Linked DNA regions of Macaca fascicularis. The main gene of each other region encodes a partner of the protein of the gene in region 2 in a complex. Links are inferred from orthologs where the notes say so. Each region holds a gene or a part of one and is shown on either strand. Other genes may lie near its edges. The genes, in order: LAT2 and STAP1.

Region 1 (9,310 bases), on a different chromosome or scaffold from region 2:
TGCCTACCTCCTGCCTTGGGGTCCCCCCAGGACCTGGGAATGGGGCTTCCATTCCTGAAACAACTGCAAACCCAGATTCTGCCTGTGGTGGGAGCTGGGAGGAGGGAGGTTGGGGAAGGCTTCTTGGAGGAGGTGGCCCAACAGCATGAGGTGGAGAAAGGTGATCCGCAGAGGGATGGGGCCCTAGCGCACTGCTGCAGGGGGCTGGGATGAAATTGGCTGGGATGCCAAGGCTGGGCTGAAGACAGGATATTCAGAGGGAGCCCTGAATCCCCGGCTGGCACCTGGCCAGCTTCTTGGTCTGTGGCTGGTCCCAGCCTCGGAGCCACGGCGTGATGACCAGGCCTCAGCAAAACACACGCACACCACCCACTGTGGCCTGGTGAATGGAAGTGTGGCCCTCTCCAATGGGCTTCCAATAGCTGTTGCAACTAGAAACAGACCCGGGCCAGGCGCGGTGGCTCACGCCTTTCATCCCAGCACTTTGGGAAGCTGAGGCAGGGAGGATTGATTGAGGTCAAGAGCTTGAGACTAGCCTGGGCAACATGGTGAAATTCTGTCTCTACAAAAAAAAAAATACAAAAAAGGCCAGGCGCGGTGGCTCACGCCTGTAATCCCAACACTTTGGGAGGCCGACGCGGGCGGATCCCGAGGTCAGGAGATCGAGACCATCCTGGGTAACACGGTGAGACCCCCGTCTCTACTAAAAATACAAAAAAATTAGCTGGGCATGATGGTGGGCACCTGTAGTCCCAGCTACTCAGGAGGCTGAGGCAGGGTCACCTGTAGTCCCAGCTACTCAGGAGGCTGAGGCAGGAGAATGGCATGAAACCGGGAGGCGGAGCTTTCAGTGAGCGGAGATCGTGCCACTGTGCTCCAGCCTGGGCAACAGAGCGAGACTCCGTCTCAAAAAAAAAAAAAAAAAAAAAAGGCCGGGCACGGTGGCTTAAGCCTGCAATCCCAGCACTTTGGGAGGCCGAGACGGGCGGATCACGAGGTCAGGAGACCGAGACAATCCTGGCTAACACGGTGAAACCCTGTCTCTACTAAAAAATACAAAAAAAACTAGCCAGGCGAGGTGGCGGGCTCCTGTAGTCCCAGCTACTTGGGAGGCTGAGGCAGGAGAATGGCGTAAACCCGGGAGGCGGAGCTTGCAGTGAGCTGAGATCCGGCCACTGCACTCCAGCCTGGGCGACAGAGCGAGACTCCGTCTAAAAAAAAAAAAAAAAAAAAAAAAAAATATATATATATATATATATATCTCCAGGCATGGTGGTGCATGCCTGTGGTCCCAGCTACTTGGGAGACTGAGGCAGGAGGATTGCTTGAACCCAGGGAGATCGAGGCTGCAGTGAGCTGTGATCATGCCACTGCACTCCAATCTGGGCAACAGAGCGAGACTGTTTCAAAAAATAATAATAAGGAGACCTGGCCCCCTGGAGATGGCCAAGGACAGAGTTGAGGGTGGTGGGGTCTCTGAAGGGGTTGAGCATGGTGGGCATTTGTGGAGCCAACACTTCCGAGTGTCCACTGTCCCCCACCCCAGTGTTCTTCCTGCCCTGGCCACCAGTGAGGAGGGTTTCTCCCCATCCCACAGCCGGGGAAGGTGAGGCTTGGAGCAGTAAACAGGACTTAAAAGGAGGCCCTCCAGCTGGGTGCAGTGGCTCACGCCTATAATCCCAGCACTTTGGGAGGCCAAGGTGGGCAGATCATGAGGTCAGGAGTTCGAGACTAGCCTGACCAATATGGTGAAACCCTGTCTCTACTAAAAATACAAAAATTAGCCAGGTGTGGTGCCTTACGCCTGTAATCCCAGCTACTCAGGAGTCTGAGACAAGAGAATCGCGTGAACCCGGGAGGCGGAGGTTGCAGTGGGCCGAGATCACACCACTGTACCCCAGCCTGGGCAACAGAGCAAGACTCCATCTCAAAAAAGAAAAAAAAAAAAAAAAAGCCCAGGCACGGTGGCTCATGCCTATAATCCCAACACTTTGGGAGGCTGAGGCGGGTGGATCATGAGGTCAGGAGTTCAAGACCAGCCTGGCCAAGATGGTGAAACTCTGTCTCTACTAAAAAAATGCAAAAAATTAGCCAGGCATGGTGGTGGTGGGTGCCTGTAATCCCAGCTACTCAGGAGGCTGAGGCAGAGAATTGCTTGAACCCGGGAGGTGGAAGTTGCAGTGAGCCGAGATCCCACCATTGCACTCCAGGCTGGGCAACAAAAACGAAACTCCATCTCAAAAAAAGAAAAAAAGAGGAGCTCCAGGCTGCCTACCTCCTGCCTTGGGATCCCCGAGGCCCACCAGGACCTGGGCTGTCCCCCTTGAAAGCTGGGTGGCTTTGGACAAGTCTCAGGACCTCTCTGGACTTCCCAAATCCCCGTGGTAAGATGATGCGGAATTTCCATGTGGCCCTGAGCCACGGTCAGGGGCCCATCACAGAGAAGCCACTGGGCCTCTCCCCAAAAGCCAAGTGAGTCAGTGGGAACAAGTGAATTTCCAAGCCGTGTGACTGGCACGACCCACGTCACCCCGGGAGGTTGTCCAAGGAAAGCTCTGCTCTCTCCTCCCCATGGCCCGCCTGGGCACTGCCCTTCTCCCTCCCTGAATCTCACCTTGCCTCAGTGTCCCCAACCCAGGGTGCACCCCCAACCCCTCCATCATGGCCCAAGTTCATCTCAGGCTTGTGAGGTTGGAGCACCTTGTCTTGGGGGAGGGCTCATGGGACCAAATCTAGCCTGCGCCTGAGAGCCCCCAGCCTCAGTTTTCTCATCTATAAAATGGGGTCGGGCTGGGTACAGGGACTCACACCTGTAATTCCAATACTTTGGGAGGCCGAGATGGGAGGATCACTTGGGTTTGAGACTAGCCTGGCCAATGTGGTGAAACCCTGTTTCTACTAGAAATACAAAAACTAGCCAGGCGTGGTGGCACAAGCCTGTAATTCCAGCTACTTGGGAGGCCGAGGCATGAGAATTGCTTGAACCCGGGAGGCGGTGAGTTGCAGTGAGCTGAGATCACGCCAGTGCACTCCGGCATGGGAGACAGAGTGAGACTCCATCTCAAAAATAATAAATAAATAAATAAATAAATAAAATGGGATCAGGCTGGGTGTGGTGGTTCACGCCTGTAATCTCAACACTGGGAGGCCGAGACTGGAGGATCACTTGAGGCCAGGAGTTCGAGACTAGCCTAGACAATGTAACAAGGCCCTGTCTCTACAAAAAAATGAAAAAAATTAGGCAGGCACAATGGTACATGCCTGTGGTTCCAGCTACTCAGTACACTGAGGCAAGACAATCACTTGAGCCCGGGAGTTGGAGTCTGCAGTGAGCCAAGATCGCACCACTGCACTCCAGCCTGGGTGACAGAGCCAGACCCCGTCTCTAAAAACAAAAAGTAAAATTTAACAAACAGTCGTGTGTCTGCCCCCAGACTGAATACATCCTGTGCTGTTGGCCAGGTGCGGTGGTTCACGCCTGTAATCCCAACACTTTGGGAGGCTGAGGTGGGCAAATCACCTGAGGTCAGGAGTTCAAGACCAGCCTGGCCAACATGGTGAAACCCTGTCTCTACTAAAAATAAAAAAATTAGGCTGAGCACAGTGGCTCACGCCTGTAATCCCAGCACTTTGGGAGGCCGAGGCGGGCAGATCACGAGGTCAGGAGATCGAAACCATCCTGGCTAACATGGTGAAACCCCGTCTCTACTAAAAATACAAAAAAATTAGCCAGGTGTAGCGGCGGGTGCCTGTAGTCCCAGCTACTCGGGAGACTGAGGCAGGAGAGTGGTGTGAACCCAGGAGGCGGAGCTTGCAGTGAGCCGAGATCGCGCCACTGCACTCCAGCCTGGGCGACAGAGCAAGACTCCATCTTCAAAAAATAAAAAAGAAATAAAAAATAAAAAATTAGCCAAGTGTGGTGGCACGTGCCTGTACTCCCAGCTACGTGGAAGGGTAAGGCAGGAGAACTGCTTGAACCCAGGAGGTGGAGGTTGTAGTGAGCCGAGATCACACCACTGCACTCCAGCCTGGATGACAGAGTGAGACTCCGTTTAAAAAAATTAAAAAAATAAAACTTCTCTGCTGTCTCCGTGTCTCTGTGTCTCTGTCTCTGTCTCCCTCTCTGCGTGTGTCTCTGTCTCGCTCTTTCACTCTTCCATGTAGGTTCTGAAAGCAGGTGGGGGGAGGTGGTGGGAGCGGAGGGTGGGCCCTCTAAGGCCCCCAGGGGCCAGCAGGGCTGGGCGGGGTGGGGAGTGGGGGCTGCCACAGACCACAGTTCTGCAGAGGCCAAAATAGCACTAAAGGGAAGTGGGCAGTTTTCATATGAACAAAGATTGCCAAGAGCCGGCTTCGGGGAAGCTCTCGGGGCTGGGCTGGAGGACACTCGAGACCACCCTGCCTGTTCCCCCAGCCGAGCTGCGGCTGCGGACACTGGGGTGGGGGAGGGGGCGGCCTGGCTTGAAGCCCCGGACAGCTTTATCCACTGAACTCTGCTCTGGTGTCTGTTGGTTTTTTTCATTTAGTTTTTAATTTTATTGGTTTTTTTTTTTAAGTGATGGGAGTCTTACTATGTTGCCCAGGCTGGTCTCCAGCTCCTGACTTCAAATGATCCTCCCGCCTTGGCCTCCCCAAATGCTGGGATAACAGGTGTGAGTCACCGTGCCAGGCTGGTCCTGTTGCTTTTTCCAAATAACTTTGGGCTTCAAATGAGGCTGGCTGGGATGGGGGGAGGCGGGCGGGTGCAGCAGGGGCCTGAGCAGCCCTAGTCCCAGGGACAGAGCTGAGGGCCAGGCAGGGGGCTGGGCAGGGAGGCAGTGGGGGTTCTCCACCTGACCTGGGGCAGGACCTGGGCCCTGGTCTGTATCTCACCGTTTTTCCCTGACCTGTATAGGGGGTTACAGTCCCATTTCATGGATGAGGAAACCGAGGCTCCCAGGCCAGGGCAGCCACTGTTTTGGCTCTCGGCTGCCCTTCACCAGTCTCTGGCAATGATGGGACCACCCTGGGATGTCCCAAGGCTGTGCAGCCTAGACAGGGGAAGGTGAGGGCAGGAGAGTGGCCAGAAGCCCAGAAACAAACTGATTCCTGAAGTGCCACAGGATCTGGTGCCAGGGCGGGAGTGGCACTGCGGGAGGGGGTGCCAGGCATCCAGGCTTCTTCCCACCCCACCCAGTGGGGCCAGGAGCTCCTGGGGGATGGGGGACAGCCTAAGGACTGAGGCACCTCTGGGAAAGGCTTACCTGAGAGTCCAGGGCTCCTCACCGCGGCCGTCCCATCCTGAGCCCGCACACCTGCCCGAGCTGATGCCAACACCACTGACACTGGCGGGCGGGCAGGGCGGGCTTCCTGCCAGCCACTGAATCATCTGTACATCCGCTGCTCTGCCGGACAGGCTCAGCTATGAACCGGGTGGGGGGGGCAGGGGAGGGAGGGGAGATAGGGGAAGGGGGTGGGAGAGAGAGAGAGGGAAAAAGAGAGAGGAGAGAGAGAGACAGAGGGGGTGGGAGAGAGAAGAGAGGGGGAGAAAGAGGTGGGGGAAGAGAGAGACAGAGGGGGAGGGAGAGAGAGAGAGGACAGAGAGAGAGAAGAGAAACAAAATGAGAGCGAGAAAGAGAAGAAAGAGAGATAGGGCCGGGTGAGGTGGCTCACGCCTGTAATCCCAGCACTTTGAGAGGTCGAGGCGGGTGGATCACCTAAGGTCAGGAGTTCGAGACCAGCCTGGCCAACATGGTGAAACCCCGTCTCTACTAAAAATACAAAATTAGCTGGGTGTGGTGGTGTGCATCTGTAATTCTAGCTACTCAGGAGGCTGAGGCAGGAAAATCGTTTGAATCTCAGAAGCGGAGGTTGCAGTGGGCCGAGATTACACCACTGCACTCTAGCCTGGGCGACAGAGGGAGACTCTGTCTCAGAAAACAGAAGGAAAAAGAGAGAGAGACACAGAGAGCAGAGAGACACAAAGAGAACAGGAAAATACGGACACACACTAAACACACAAACACAAAAAGTCACACAGAGAGGAAGAGAGATACTCTCCAACAGAGAGGGAACAAGATAATGAAACTGAGGTACTCCTGCAGACGGCAGATATGGAGACACACACAGGCAGACATTCACACCCATGGGCCGGGCACGGGGCTCACACCTGTAATCCCAGCACTTTGGGAGGCCGAGGCAGGCAGATCATGAAGTCAGGGTTCGAAACCAGCCTGACCAACGCGGTGAAACCCCAACTGTACTAAAAATACAAAAATTAGCCGGGCATGGTGGTAGGTGCTTGTAATCCCAGCTACTCAGGAGGCTGAGGCAGGAGAATTGCTTGAACCTGGGAGGCGGAGGTTGCAGTGAGCCGAGATCGGGCCACTGCACTCGAGCCTGGGTGACAGAGTGAGACTTCATCTAAAAAAAACCAAAAAACAAACAAACCAAAAAACACACACAGGCAGAAATTCACACCCATGGGCCAGGCATGGTGGCTCACGTCTGTAATCTCTACACTTTGGGAGGCTGAAGCGGGAGAATCACCTGAGGTCTGGAGTTCAAGACCAGCCTGGCCAACATGGTGAAACCCCATCTCTACAAAAAATTTAAAAATTAGCTGGGCATGAGATGGACCAAGAGACACAGAGAGAGACACACAGAAATACACAGAGATGGCCGGGCGCGGTGGCTCAAGCCTGTAATCCCAGCACTTTGGGAGGCCGAGACGGGCGGATCACGAGGTCAGGAGATCGAGACCATCCTGGATAACACAGTGAAACCCCGTCTCTACTAAAAAATACAAAAAAAAATTAGCCGGGCGAGGTGGCGGGCGCCTGTAGTCCCAGCTACGCGGGAGGCTGAGGCAGGAGAATGGCGTGAACCCGGGAGGCGGAGCTTGCAGTGAGCTGAGATCCGGCCACTGTACTCCAGCCTGGGCGACAGAGCCAGACTCCGTCTCAAAAAAAAAAAAAAAAAAAAAAAAAAAAAAGAAATACACAGAGAGAAAGAGAGCCGCAGACTGTCAGAGACACACACAGATGGGGAGACAGCAAGAAACAGGGAGATAGAGGCCAGGTGTGGTGGCTTGCACCTGTAATCCTAACACTTTTGGAGGCCAAGACAGAAGGATTGCTTAAGAACAGGAGTTAGAGACCAGCGTGGACAACAGAGCGAGACCCCATCTCTAATACAATTTTTTTAATTAGCTGGGTGTGGTGGCACGCACCTGTAGTCCCAGTGTTTTGGGAGGCCAAAATGGGAGGATTGCTTGAGCCCAAGAGTTGGAGGCTGCAGTTAGCCATGATCGTGCCACTGCACTCCAGCCTGGGGGACAGAGCAAGACCCTGTCTGTAAAAACAATAAATAGGCTGGGTGTGGTGGCTCAAGCCTGTAATCCCAACACTTCGGGAGGCTGAGGCAGGTGGATCAGCTTAGGTCAGGAGTTCAAGACCAGCCTGGTCAACATGGTGAAACCCCATCTCTACTAAAAATACAAAAATTAACCGGGTGTGGTGGTGCCCCAGCTACTCGGGAGGCTGAGGCAAAAGAATCACTTGAGCCCAGGAGGTGGAGGTTGCAGTGAGCCGAGATTGCGCCATTGCACTCCAGCCTGGGCGACACAGTGAGACTCCATCAAAAAAAAAAAAAAATCAAAATAATAATATTTAATGAATAGCTCAATGGCCTTGGGCAGCTGTTTAATGGTCAACAGCACAAGGCACTCCACCCACTTGCGGGATGTGGCTTTATTGACCTCAGGTGCCAGAGCGTCCTGGGCTCCACAGGGAACTGTCTCACTCAGTCCTCACATCTGTGTGGATGGCAGCCACGGTATCCACCCCAGGGCTGGGCACAGGAGCGGCGCTGGGCAGGAGTGGGCTGTGGTCCCTCTGCCTGTGCTGTGAGCCATTCTCTGCACCCCCTGATGCCAGGAGCCTCATCTGTGCAGTGGAGTGATGAGACCTGCAGGGCTGGGGTGGAGCAGGGCTGGCTGTCCTTCCTTCTCCCACCCTTCAGCGCCCTCTCCATCCGCAGCCTCTGACACGTGTGCCATCCACTCCTCCACCTGTCTTCGGTCACTTATTCCACCTGCCCTGCCCTCGTGGCCTCTGCAGGGGTCTCTCTGTCCCTGCCCTGCCCACCCGTGTCCCTCGTCCTTTGCCTCTGTGTCTGTCTCATCCTCTGAGACTCTTGCTGTCTGACCCTCTGTCTCTATTCCTTGCTCTCTTCTTTCTTTCTTGAGACAGGGTCTCACTCGGTCCGGAGGTGAAGTTGGATTTCAACCCAGATCCCAAAGCCTGGCTTCCTTGCTGGGACCCCCTGTCTGGCTCCTCCTCACACAATGGGAACAAGCTTGCATCAGTTTCCCTCCAGCCCCAGACTATGCACCTGGACAGGGGTTACCTACTGTTCTTTCCCCTTTATATTTATTTATTTATTTATTTTAAGATGGGGTCACACCTGGTCACCCAGGCTGGAGAGCAGTGGTGCAATCTCAGCTCCCTGCAACCTCTGCCTCCCAGACTCAGATGATCCTCCCACCTCAGCCTCCAGAGTTAGCTAGAACCCCAGGTGCGTGCCACCACGCCCAGCTAATTTTTTTTTTTTTTTTTTTGCAGAGACGGTCTTGCTATGTTGCCCAGGCTGGTCTTGAACTCCTGGCCTTAAGCGATCCTCCATCCTCAGTCTCCCAAAGTGCTGGGATTACAGGCGTGAGGCCACTGAGACTGGTCCCATTGAATCTGGTGTCTATCCCACCTGCTGGAGACACCAGGCAAGAGCATGACAGTCCTCCAGCTCCTAAATGTCTGGCATTTCAGAACCTGAACCCCCAGTTCTGGACGACTCTAGGCCCAGGACCCTGGCTCTGGGGTTCCACTCTCAGCTTGGGGCTAGGTTTCTCTTTCAGCCTTGGCGGCGGTGTCCCGGCCAGGCCAGGAGAGGTGGCCGCTGAGACAAGAGGCTGGGCCCGCTGCTGCCACCTCGTGGAGCAGGAGGGTAGCACATGCTCCAGGGGCTGGTTCTGAGAGTTCCCGCAGGCTTCCGTGAGAGGAGCTCACCCTGCCTCCCTCTGTGGCCGGACTAGGACTGAAGCTAGGGCCATCAGATGCCCAAATCTGTGCCTGTGCAAGCAACCGCCACCCTCCCTTATTCCATCCAGCAATGGCAAGTGCACTGGATTCAGGACCACGTTTCCTTCCCACGGTAACCGGTAAGAAGACAGAGGCTTACGGAGCTGAAGCTGGATTTGAACCCAGACCCCAAAGCCTGGCTTCCTCGCTGGGACTCCCTGCCTGGCTCCTCCTCACACAATGGGAACAAGCGTGCA
Region 2 (9,226 bases):
AGCTCCAGTTAAGTTTCTCTTCCCCTCTCCCCAATAAAAAGCTCTCATTCTTTCTTTTTTTGTGAGCAAATAAAGTACATTTACCTAAGGAAGAACGTTGTATAGTGGTCTCCAAAATGGGATGCATAAATTCCAAAGGTGTGCAAGATGATCCATTGGGAGAGAAAATTTTAGAATATTTAATTATATTTTATGTTTCTTAATTCATTTTTTATATATCTTAATTTACATGGAGTAATAGTATGGGACTATATATGTTTATAATTTCTAAATGAATCAATATTCTTATTTTAAGGATCTGTGCTCAAAATGTTTCCCTGAAAGGAGTGTGTTATATTAAAATTCGGAGATTACTGCCGTAGAGAACTGTTTGTGAGCACAACTTAGACAGCCCTAAAAAATTTACTTTTTTTTTTTTCGAGAGGGAGTTTCGCTCTGTCACCCAGGCTGGAGTGCAGTGGCACGATCTTGGCTCACTGCAACCTCTGCCTCCCGGGTTCCAGCGATTCTCCTGCCTCAGCCTTCCCAATAGCTGGGATTACAGGCGTGTACCACCATGCCCAGTTAATTTTTGTGTTTTTAGTAGAGACGGAGTTTCACTAAATGAATTAGAGGTGAGTAGATTAGAGGAATACGATTTTGATACAGTTATGATGATCCCATGCTTATGTTCAGGTTAATAAGACATATTAAACACACTGTTTTTGTTGTTGTTTTGAGACGAGTCTCGCCCTGTAGTCCAGGCTGGAGTGCAGTGGCGCGATCTCGGCTCACTGCAAGCTCCGCCTCCCAGGTTCACGCCATTCTCCTGCCTCAGCCTCCCCAGCAGCTGGGACTACAGGCTCCCGCCGCCTTGCCCAGCTAATTTTTTTGTATTTTTAGTAGAGATGGGGTTTCACCGTGTTAGCCAGGATGATCTCGGTCTCTTGACCTCGTGATCCGCCCGCCTCAGCCTCCCAAAGTGCTGGGATTACAGGCGTGAGCCACCGCGCCCGGTCAACACACACATTTTTTTTTTTTTTTTTTTTTTTTTTTTTTAATTTTAGCACATCACAGATTGAAGGAATTACGAGACATTGCCCAAACTCTCTCTTATTTTCTTTTTCTTTTTTCTTCCTTTCTTTTCTTTCTTTCTTTTTTTTTTTTTAAAGACAGAGTCTTGCTCTGTTGCCAGACTGTAGTGCAGTGGTGCCATCTCAGCTCACTGCAACCTCTGCCTCCCGGGTTCAAGTGATTCTCCTTCCTCAGCCTCCCTAGTAGCTGGAACCACAGGCATGTGCCACCACACCCAGCTAATTTTTGTATTTTTAGTAGAGACGGGGTTTCACCATGTTGACCAGGTTGGTCTCGATCTCCTGACCTCGTGATCTGCCCACCTGGGCCTCCCAGAGTGCTGGGATTACAGGCATGAGCCATGGCGCCTGGCCCACCCAAACTCTGTCTTATTTTCAAACGGTCCCAGAAAAAATGAGCAATTTTCCCATTTGTAAGAACTGCGAGGCCATTGGTATTCCACTGTGGCATTTAATAGTTTTTATTATCAAATACATCTTCCTGGTTAATCCAGAATCATAGTGATGTGGTTTAAATAAATCTTCCCACATTATCTTTTCCATAAAGATTATGTGTTTTTCATGGGTTCTTGACCTCAGATTTAGAAACCTTCTAGAATTGCATGCAAAATGGTATACGTTGGTACATTTTCCTGGGGAAAAGCTCTTTAAATACTTAAAAGTGCCCCACAAAAAAAAATGTCTAAGAAACACCTCTCAACATTCAATGCCTTTATAGACCAGGTTACTCTTCAGTTATATTTTTTCTAGTTTAAATGTTCTAAATGACTTTGGCAGAGACCGAACTTTACATTCTGCAGAGCCTCTCAACTTCCTCCAGCCAATCAGCTCCGAAGATTACTTGGCTATATACCTGTGGCTCACCTTCTGTTCAAAGATTCCCTGGCACTTTGCTGCCAATTGCTTGGAAATTCCACTTATTTTCCTTAGATTTTTCTCATAGCTACTATTTTCAAGTACTCTAATTATCACCATGCTCACTCTCCTTTGAGCCATATTACTTGTAGACCTCAAACTAATTTTAGCACATGAATAAGAATATGGTAAGTGATGAAAGGGTAAGAGAATGAATCTAACCTTTAGTGTGAGCCAGGTGTTTTACATATGCTATCCCTGAAACCACAACATAAGTAGGCATTATTGTCATCCTCTTGCTCTCTTCTCCCTGACATACAAGTAAAAGGTACTTTGTAGCCTAACTCAGTGGCCCACACCTGTAATTCTAGCACGTTGGGAGGCCAAGGTGGGCAGATTGCTGGAGCCCAGGAGTTTGAGACCAACCTGAACAACATGATGAAACCCTGTCTCTATAAACAATACCAACATTAGCTGGGTATGGTACGCACTTGTAGTCCCAGCTACTCAGGAGGCTGAGGCAGGAGAATCACCAGAGCTGGGGATGTTGAGGCTGCATGACTAGTGATTGCACCACAGCACTCCAGCTTGGGCAACAGAGGAGACACTGCCACACACACACACACACACACACACACACACACACACAGGTACTTTATTATAAATTCAAATAGAAACAAGTTAATTTCATTGGAAATATTTATGCCTATGGTTATTCATTCTGCTTCAAATAATGCTTTCTAAGAGAAGGTAAAGAGTAGAAATTCAGTAAGGAAGACATCATTCCTACTATATTAAGCCTCTTGAAAATAAAATCTTTGTGTTTTTTTCATATTCTCCAGAAATAAAAGTGATGCTTGGTGCATAGAAGGCACACAATAAATGCTGAGTGAATAAATTGCTTGAACACCTACTGTGTCCCAGAATGTGCCTTAGGAGGCAAGTAGCAAGTAGTGTACTCTCTATCTTATAGTTGAAGAAACAGTCTCAAGGAGATTGAGTAACTTGCACAAGATAACGAGCAGTAAGTGGCAAAACCATCAGATAAAGACACTCTAAAATTCTTATTCTTTCTGCTAACCATACCAATGACGCACCTTCTTTAAGCATTTTAAAAAAAACTGCTATCATAAACAGTTATTACAAACACCTTGGAAAACATTCAGTGAACAACCAAATTTAAATTACAAATTAGATTTTTTTTTTTTTCTCAACTTCCCTTTCCTGGCAAAGTGTGACTATGTGGCTTACCTGTGGTGACAAGATTAAATTTACATTAAAAGCATGTAGGAACAACCTGAAAATATTCTAGTATAACTGAAAGATAATTATTTATGCATGTTTAACATCCATAACAGAATACAAATTACCATGTCTTTACTCTCAAATAGTAAATGATCTGATTATATATGTAAGAAATATGAATATGCTATTACAGATTTTTCATATATATAATTTTTCCATAAGTATTCATAAATCCTCAGAAAATATATTTTATCATCATTAAACATTTCTGATGGAATTTCTGAAAACCTTAAAGTTTTTCTAGTTTTAGTCAATATACAATTTCATAAAATTTGACGTAAGTTAATGATTTTTTCTTTAATAACAGGCAATTTTGGGCTCATTTCTCTAATTAATTTCAAGTCATCCATAATTACTATTTTAAAAGTAATGATTTTAACTAACTATAAGTTTTAATTATTACATTCAAAAATACAGAATGCTTCATGGATTTTCTTAGAGCAAAGGTATTTGTGTAGCTTAGTGTACTTAATATCCACAGTAGTACCCCAAAAATTAAAAGCCACTATCTTGAATAGTATTTTAGAACACATAACACTATATAATGTTAAACAGTACGAACTTTGTCATTTTAACAATTTTTACAAAAGCCATTTTTAATAATTTGATCATTATAAACTTCAAATGACTGAGAACAGGAGCAGGTTTAATTTCAATAATGATATTTTATCTTTTTTTTTTTTTTTTTTTTTTTTTTTTTTTTTTGAGACGGAGTCTTGCTCTGTAGCCCGGGCTGGAGTGCAGTGGCCAGATCTCAGCTCACTGCAAGCTCCGCCTCCCGGGTTTACGCCATTCTCCTGCCTCAGCCTCCGGAGTAGCTGGGACTACAGGCGCCCGCCACCTCGCCCGGCCAGTTTTTTTTTTGTATTTTTTTAGTAGAGACGGGGTTTCACCGTGTTAGCCAGGATGGTCTCGATCTCCTGACCTCGTGATCCGCCCGTCTCGGCCTCCCAAAGTGCTGGGATTACAGGCTTGAGCCACCGCGCCCGGCGATATTTTATCTTAATGGTACATCTCATCATTGAAGCATAGCAATAAATTGTGGAGAAAATACAGGAAACATTTTATCTCCCAAGCCAAAGTCTTCTGTGATATTTAAATTCTTTGGAATTCTTTGGAAATTTAGCTTATTGAATTTTTTATATTAGTGCCTTAATATTACAACCTGTGTTATTATACATATTATATATTCATAGACATACAGGTTTAAGCCAGACATTGTATTTAAATTATGAAAAATTGGAATCATTTCTGAGCTCAAAGAAGAGAAGATGATTTAATTTCAACAGAAACAAGGGGGTCTCAACACATCACATCACCATGAAATAAATATTAAATTAAAAGAGAAGTCTTAGGTTTAACATTATCATGTATAGACTCACCTGGTATCCTGACCGCTTGACTAACAAAAAACCTTCAAAGTACAAAGGTAGAGCAGTAATCTTTAACCTTTCCTGGAAGATCCTGCGAGGGGCTGGTTTTGGGGGCTTCTTAGCCATCATACCCCTCTCTTTGGTGTGTGGTTTGGTTTCTCGTCTCAAACAAAATGAAATCCTCCTTGTGTGAGAGGAAAAGGCAACTGTTCAAAGAGGAAGTCCCAAATTGCTTTTTAACCACCAACAGGACACACACACACACACACACACACACACACACACACACACACACTTTTTTTTCCATTACTTTTTGTGAGGTAAGAAAGAACAGGTGTAATCTGACTTTTAGAGAGCAATCTCTGGGTAATCTACATATGCTTAGATTTAAAGCAGCAAAATAAACAGAAGATTAACATCACCGAAGATGAAAGAAACAGGTGTAGAGATTGTGAACTTTAGGGGAGACATCAAGAACATAGTTATTCTTTCTACCTTTGTTTTTGTTTATTGCTGTCCATTTTTATTTGCAGAAGACATGACTTGAATAAACTCTGCTTCATTAAAAATTGCTTCATAGAATAATTTTATTAGTACTATTTCTGTTGGTTAAATATTTCAGGGCCAAGTTTTGTGTAAATAAAAAAAATAGTTCTATCTCATGCCCATTTGATGCTTCACTAAATATAAACCGCAGTTATGGGAACATGGAATATGGAATTTTTTTCTTTTTTCTTTTTTTATTTTTGCCAGTAGGTATTCCAAGTACATGAGTTCACAATGAATATTTAGTACTATGTTTTCAATGTATCCTCCAAAGTTTGTGTGTTAGAAACTTAATCCCCAATACAACAGTGTTTAGAAATAGGACCTTTAGAAGGGGATTAAGTCATGAGGCATCTGCCCTCATGAATGAATTAATGAATTAATGCTCTGGGAGTGGGTTTCTTTCTCTTTTTTCAGAGGCAGGGTCTTGCTGTGTTGCCCAGGCTGGAATACACTGATGCAATCACAGCTCACTGCAGTCTTGACCTCTCAGGCTCAAACAATCCTCACATATCAGCCTCCCAAGTAGCTGGGACTACAGGGCAAGTGCCACCACTCCTAGCTAACTTTTTCATTTTTTGTATAGACAGTATCTCCCTATGTTGCCCAGGTTGGTCTCGAACTCTTGGGCTCAAGCGATTCTCCTGCTGTGGCCTCCCAAAGTGCTGGGATTACAGGTGTGAGCCATTGCATCTGGCCTGGAAGTGGGTTTTTTATAAAATCAAGTTTGGCACTTTCTGGCATGCTATCACCCTCTCTTGCTCTTCTATCTTCTGCCATGGAATGATGCCCCGTGAAGGTCCTCATCAGATGTTGGCTTCCAGCTTCCGGAACCATGAGCCAAATACATTTCTGTTCATTATAATTTACCAGTCTGTGGGTATTCTGTTACAGCAACACAAAGGAGTCTAAGATATTTGGCAAAAAATATCTGGCAGAGAAAGCTGTAAGTTTTCAAACTTTTATTTTGTTCTTTGTGCTTTCTGAGCTGCAGACCATTGATTCATGGATGGAGTTCATGAATACTATTGATACTATGATTCATGGATGGAGTTCCCACAGTTATCTAGTGAGATTTATAAAGCTATACTGGGACCAAAGTGCACTCAATGGTTGCATGTAGGCAATGGCCCTTAAGAGATTGGATTTGCCCTAGCACAGTGCAGGAAATGATGGGAGAAAAGAATATTAGAAGGAATTTTGATTTGTCTTACAGGGGTCCTAAGAATTTCTACCATTGCCTATTTCACACTCAGTATTTCAGAACTACTCTAGATTTAGAACAGCCTGGGCCCAGTGAGACCAGCCTATTATTAGAAATCAGAGCAAGCCAGGAGTCTTCAGTCTGATTCTCCTTTCCTAATGGAGAGACTGCATGATTTTCTCCACCAGTGTGGGTCCCACTGATCCTGCAGTGGGATATGAGATGCCAAATTGTCTACAAAGTAAGGTAGAACAATACAGACTGATTATCAGTAAGTTAGAGGAGAGTGTTCAGATGTATTATCAAAATGAAAACAGCTAGAGACAGACATAGAGAGTTGAAGATCCAAAATTACTGCTTTGCTTTTATAAGTTTAGACCTGCTTCTTGCTACCCAACCTTCAAATAATAAAATATAAGTCCAACTTAATTTTTTGAGACAAAAACCATAACTATTTTTTAGTTTCAGTATACTAAGAAAGTGACTTGAGTAACGGGAAAACCTCCTGATTGAATATATGACCTAATCCACTTTCTTGGCAGCTGTTAGTTGTTGTAATACAGGGGGGAAGTGAAAGGAAGGATTAAGAATTGAAAAATGAAAAGAAGGAGCAAGGATAGAGAAAGATAGAATGCTGGGGATCATCAGTGATTAGATACTGACTTTATGGCCAGAAAGTTTCATAGGCAAGAGAAAATAATACCTCTAGAAAAATGTAAAGAGGAGTTTTTTTTTGTTGTTGTCAAATAAACACTTGGTTATGTTTTTTTGCCTTTAAAAAAATAAGCAACAATTTAAAAACAGCTAATCAGACGCAGTAAGTTACTTTGGTCTACTGATTTATACATCAAATTCATTTTTAATATACCAAGAATCTCCCTAAAAAAGACTACAAAATGCAAAAATATTTCTTAAACAATATTAACCAGTTAGTCTTGTCTGCAATTACTAGTATCATTGTACCACTGCACCATTACAATGGAAATCCTCTTACAGATATCTCAAGTCTTAGGCAGTGAATAATAAATTTGTAGGTAAGGAAATACAGTAGAAAATATGTTTGGACATAGGGCTGAAGCTAATTTTGCTACTAATTGACTCTTGAGACCTTGAACAAACCACTTGACTTCTCTGGTGTCATAGCTTCCTCACCCATACAATGAGGCGATGGACTACATGACTTATTGTCTGAAGAGCTGCAAAAGGCTTTTAAGTGGTCTCCTAGTTTCCACTCTTTTTCTTCTCCAATTCATTTAAAATTCAGCCTAATCAAGATACTCCCCTACTGAAAAGACTTTAATGGATTTTCATTGCTTTTGAGATTTCTTTTTAAAATTTTGTCATTGAACATTGAATATTTATTGAATACCAACAATGGGCTCAAGCATGGCACACTGGTCCTTCATAGCAGGGCCCTTTTAAATAATAACTCCTCAAAATACCCTTTGCTCTGGTAATTTCATTTATTCTCAGTTGCCTGAATACCCTATGATCTTCCCTATCACCTCATACCTTTTCAGTCACTGTACTCTGCTTAGATGCCCCTCCTTCCCTTTGTTTATATGGTAATGTCCTACTCATCCTTCAAGACCCAGGCTGAATCTATCCTTAATTCTGAAGATTTCCTAATTTCCTGAATCTTTCTTCACCCTCCCCCCAGACACAAAAAAAGGTTATTACTCTCATTTCTGCTTTCCCAACGCAGTTTGTATGATTTCTTTTTTATAGCATTTGTCCTGTTGTAGCTATTTGTATACATTCAGATCAACAAGAAACAGTTTTTCCAAGGGAAAGATTGTGTTGAAGTAGGGGTTGGTTATAGGTAGATTGCAATATCATTTATTTACTGAATAGCTTCCAGATAAAAAATATGATTCTAGTTTGGAGAATTATTAGCTTCCATTGTGACAGGAGTTTCCTTTTTTCTGATATATGTGACTATTGGTTGACATATGATTCTTGTGTTGCCTTGTAGAATAATCATGTTACTATTAAACTATTGGAGCCCAATATTACAGCCATCGGTAGCATCTGTGTCACAGAACATTGTTATAAATCAGGTTTTATGGCAAATATAACTTAACGACTTTGGGTAAAGTATAACAGTTAACTCATATAAACCAAAATGTCAGTGATCTATTGAGTCCTCTATGTTATAATGTCATTTGAGTAAAAATCCACATTTTTTACAATAATTGAGGATCTCTAAAATACTTTTCTATCCATTTATTAGTACTGAATCAATCAAGTCTGAATAGGAGGCTCCAACTCTGCTCTAGTATTTCCACATTTCTGACCTTTGTTTTACTTAATATTTATTGATGATTTATTGCCATATGCATTATAATTTGTGTTAGTATATTTCGAAGATATTTTAATTGCATGCATTTATTTTTATAACTCATACCTGAAGAATACAGCTTTAATTTTAACCACTGCATGAAATGCTTATAGCTTATCAATGGCTGGTGTGAATCCAATACCATCTTTATTATGAGTAAATTTTTTATTACTATTGATAGAATTAAGCCACATTTTCTTTTTCTTTTCTTTTCTTTTTTTGAGACTGAGTCTTGCTCTGTCGCCCAGGCTGGAGTGCAGTGGCACGATCTCAGCTCATTGCCACCTCTGCCCCCCGGATTCACACCATTCTCCTGCCTCAGCTCCTGAGTAGCTGGGACTACAGGTGCTCACCACCACACCTGGCTAATTTTTTGTATTTTTAGTAGATACGAGGTTTCACCATGTTGGTCAGGCAGGCTAGTCTCGAACTCCTGACCTTAAATGATCCATCTGCCTTGGCCTCCCAAAGCGCTGGGATTTATAGGCATTAGCCACCACACCCAGACAAGCAGCATTTTCAGTGGAGA

The links.
Region 1: the proteins of STAP1 (region 2) and LAT2 are in contact, whole or in part, in a crystal structure (PDB 3MAZ), measured with the Homo sapiens proteins. The link is inferred for Macaca fascicularis from reciprocal best matches to the Homo sapiens genes STAP1 and LAT2. Residues at the interface, in NP_001304698.1 of Homo sapiens: Arg184, Arg203, Pro204, Gly205, Ser206, Ser212, Ile215, Gln217, Ile219, Lys225, His226, Tyr227, Lys228, Glu239, Leu240, Glu241, Tyr255, Phe256, Glu259, Thr260, Arg261, Asn263, Leu264; in NP_054865.2 of Homo sapiens: Asn134, Ser135, Tyr136, Glu137, Asn138, Val139, Leu140, Ile141, Lys143.

Annotation. Positions count from the first base shown.
Region 1 is NC_088377.1:53,095,203-53,104,512, reverse strand, and holds the start of LAT2 (linker for activation of T-cells family member 2), read right to left. Parts: upstream 5,376-9,310; 5' UTR 5,241-5,375; intron 1-5,240. UniProt on the Homo sapiens protein: Involved in FCER1 (high affinity immunoglobulin epsilon receptor)-mediated signaling in mast cells.
Region 2 is NC_088379.1:66,199,270-66,208,495, forward strand, and holds the start of STAP1 (signal-transducing adaptor protein 1), read right to left. Parts: upstream 4,819-9,226; 5' UTR 4,736-4,818; coding exon 4,616-4,735; intron 1-4,615. UniProt on the Homo sapiens protein: In BCR signaling, appears to function as a docking protein acting downstream of TEC and participates in a positive feedback loop by increasing the activity of TEC.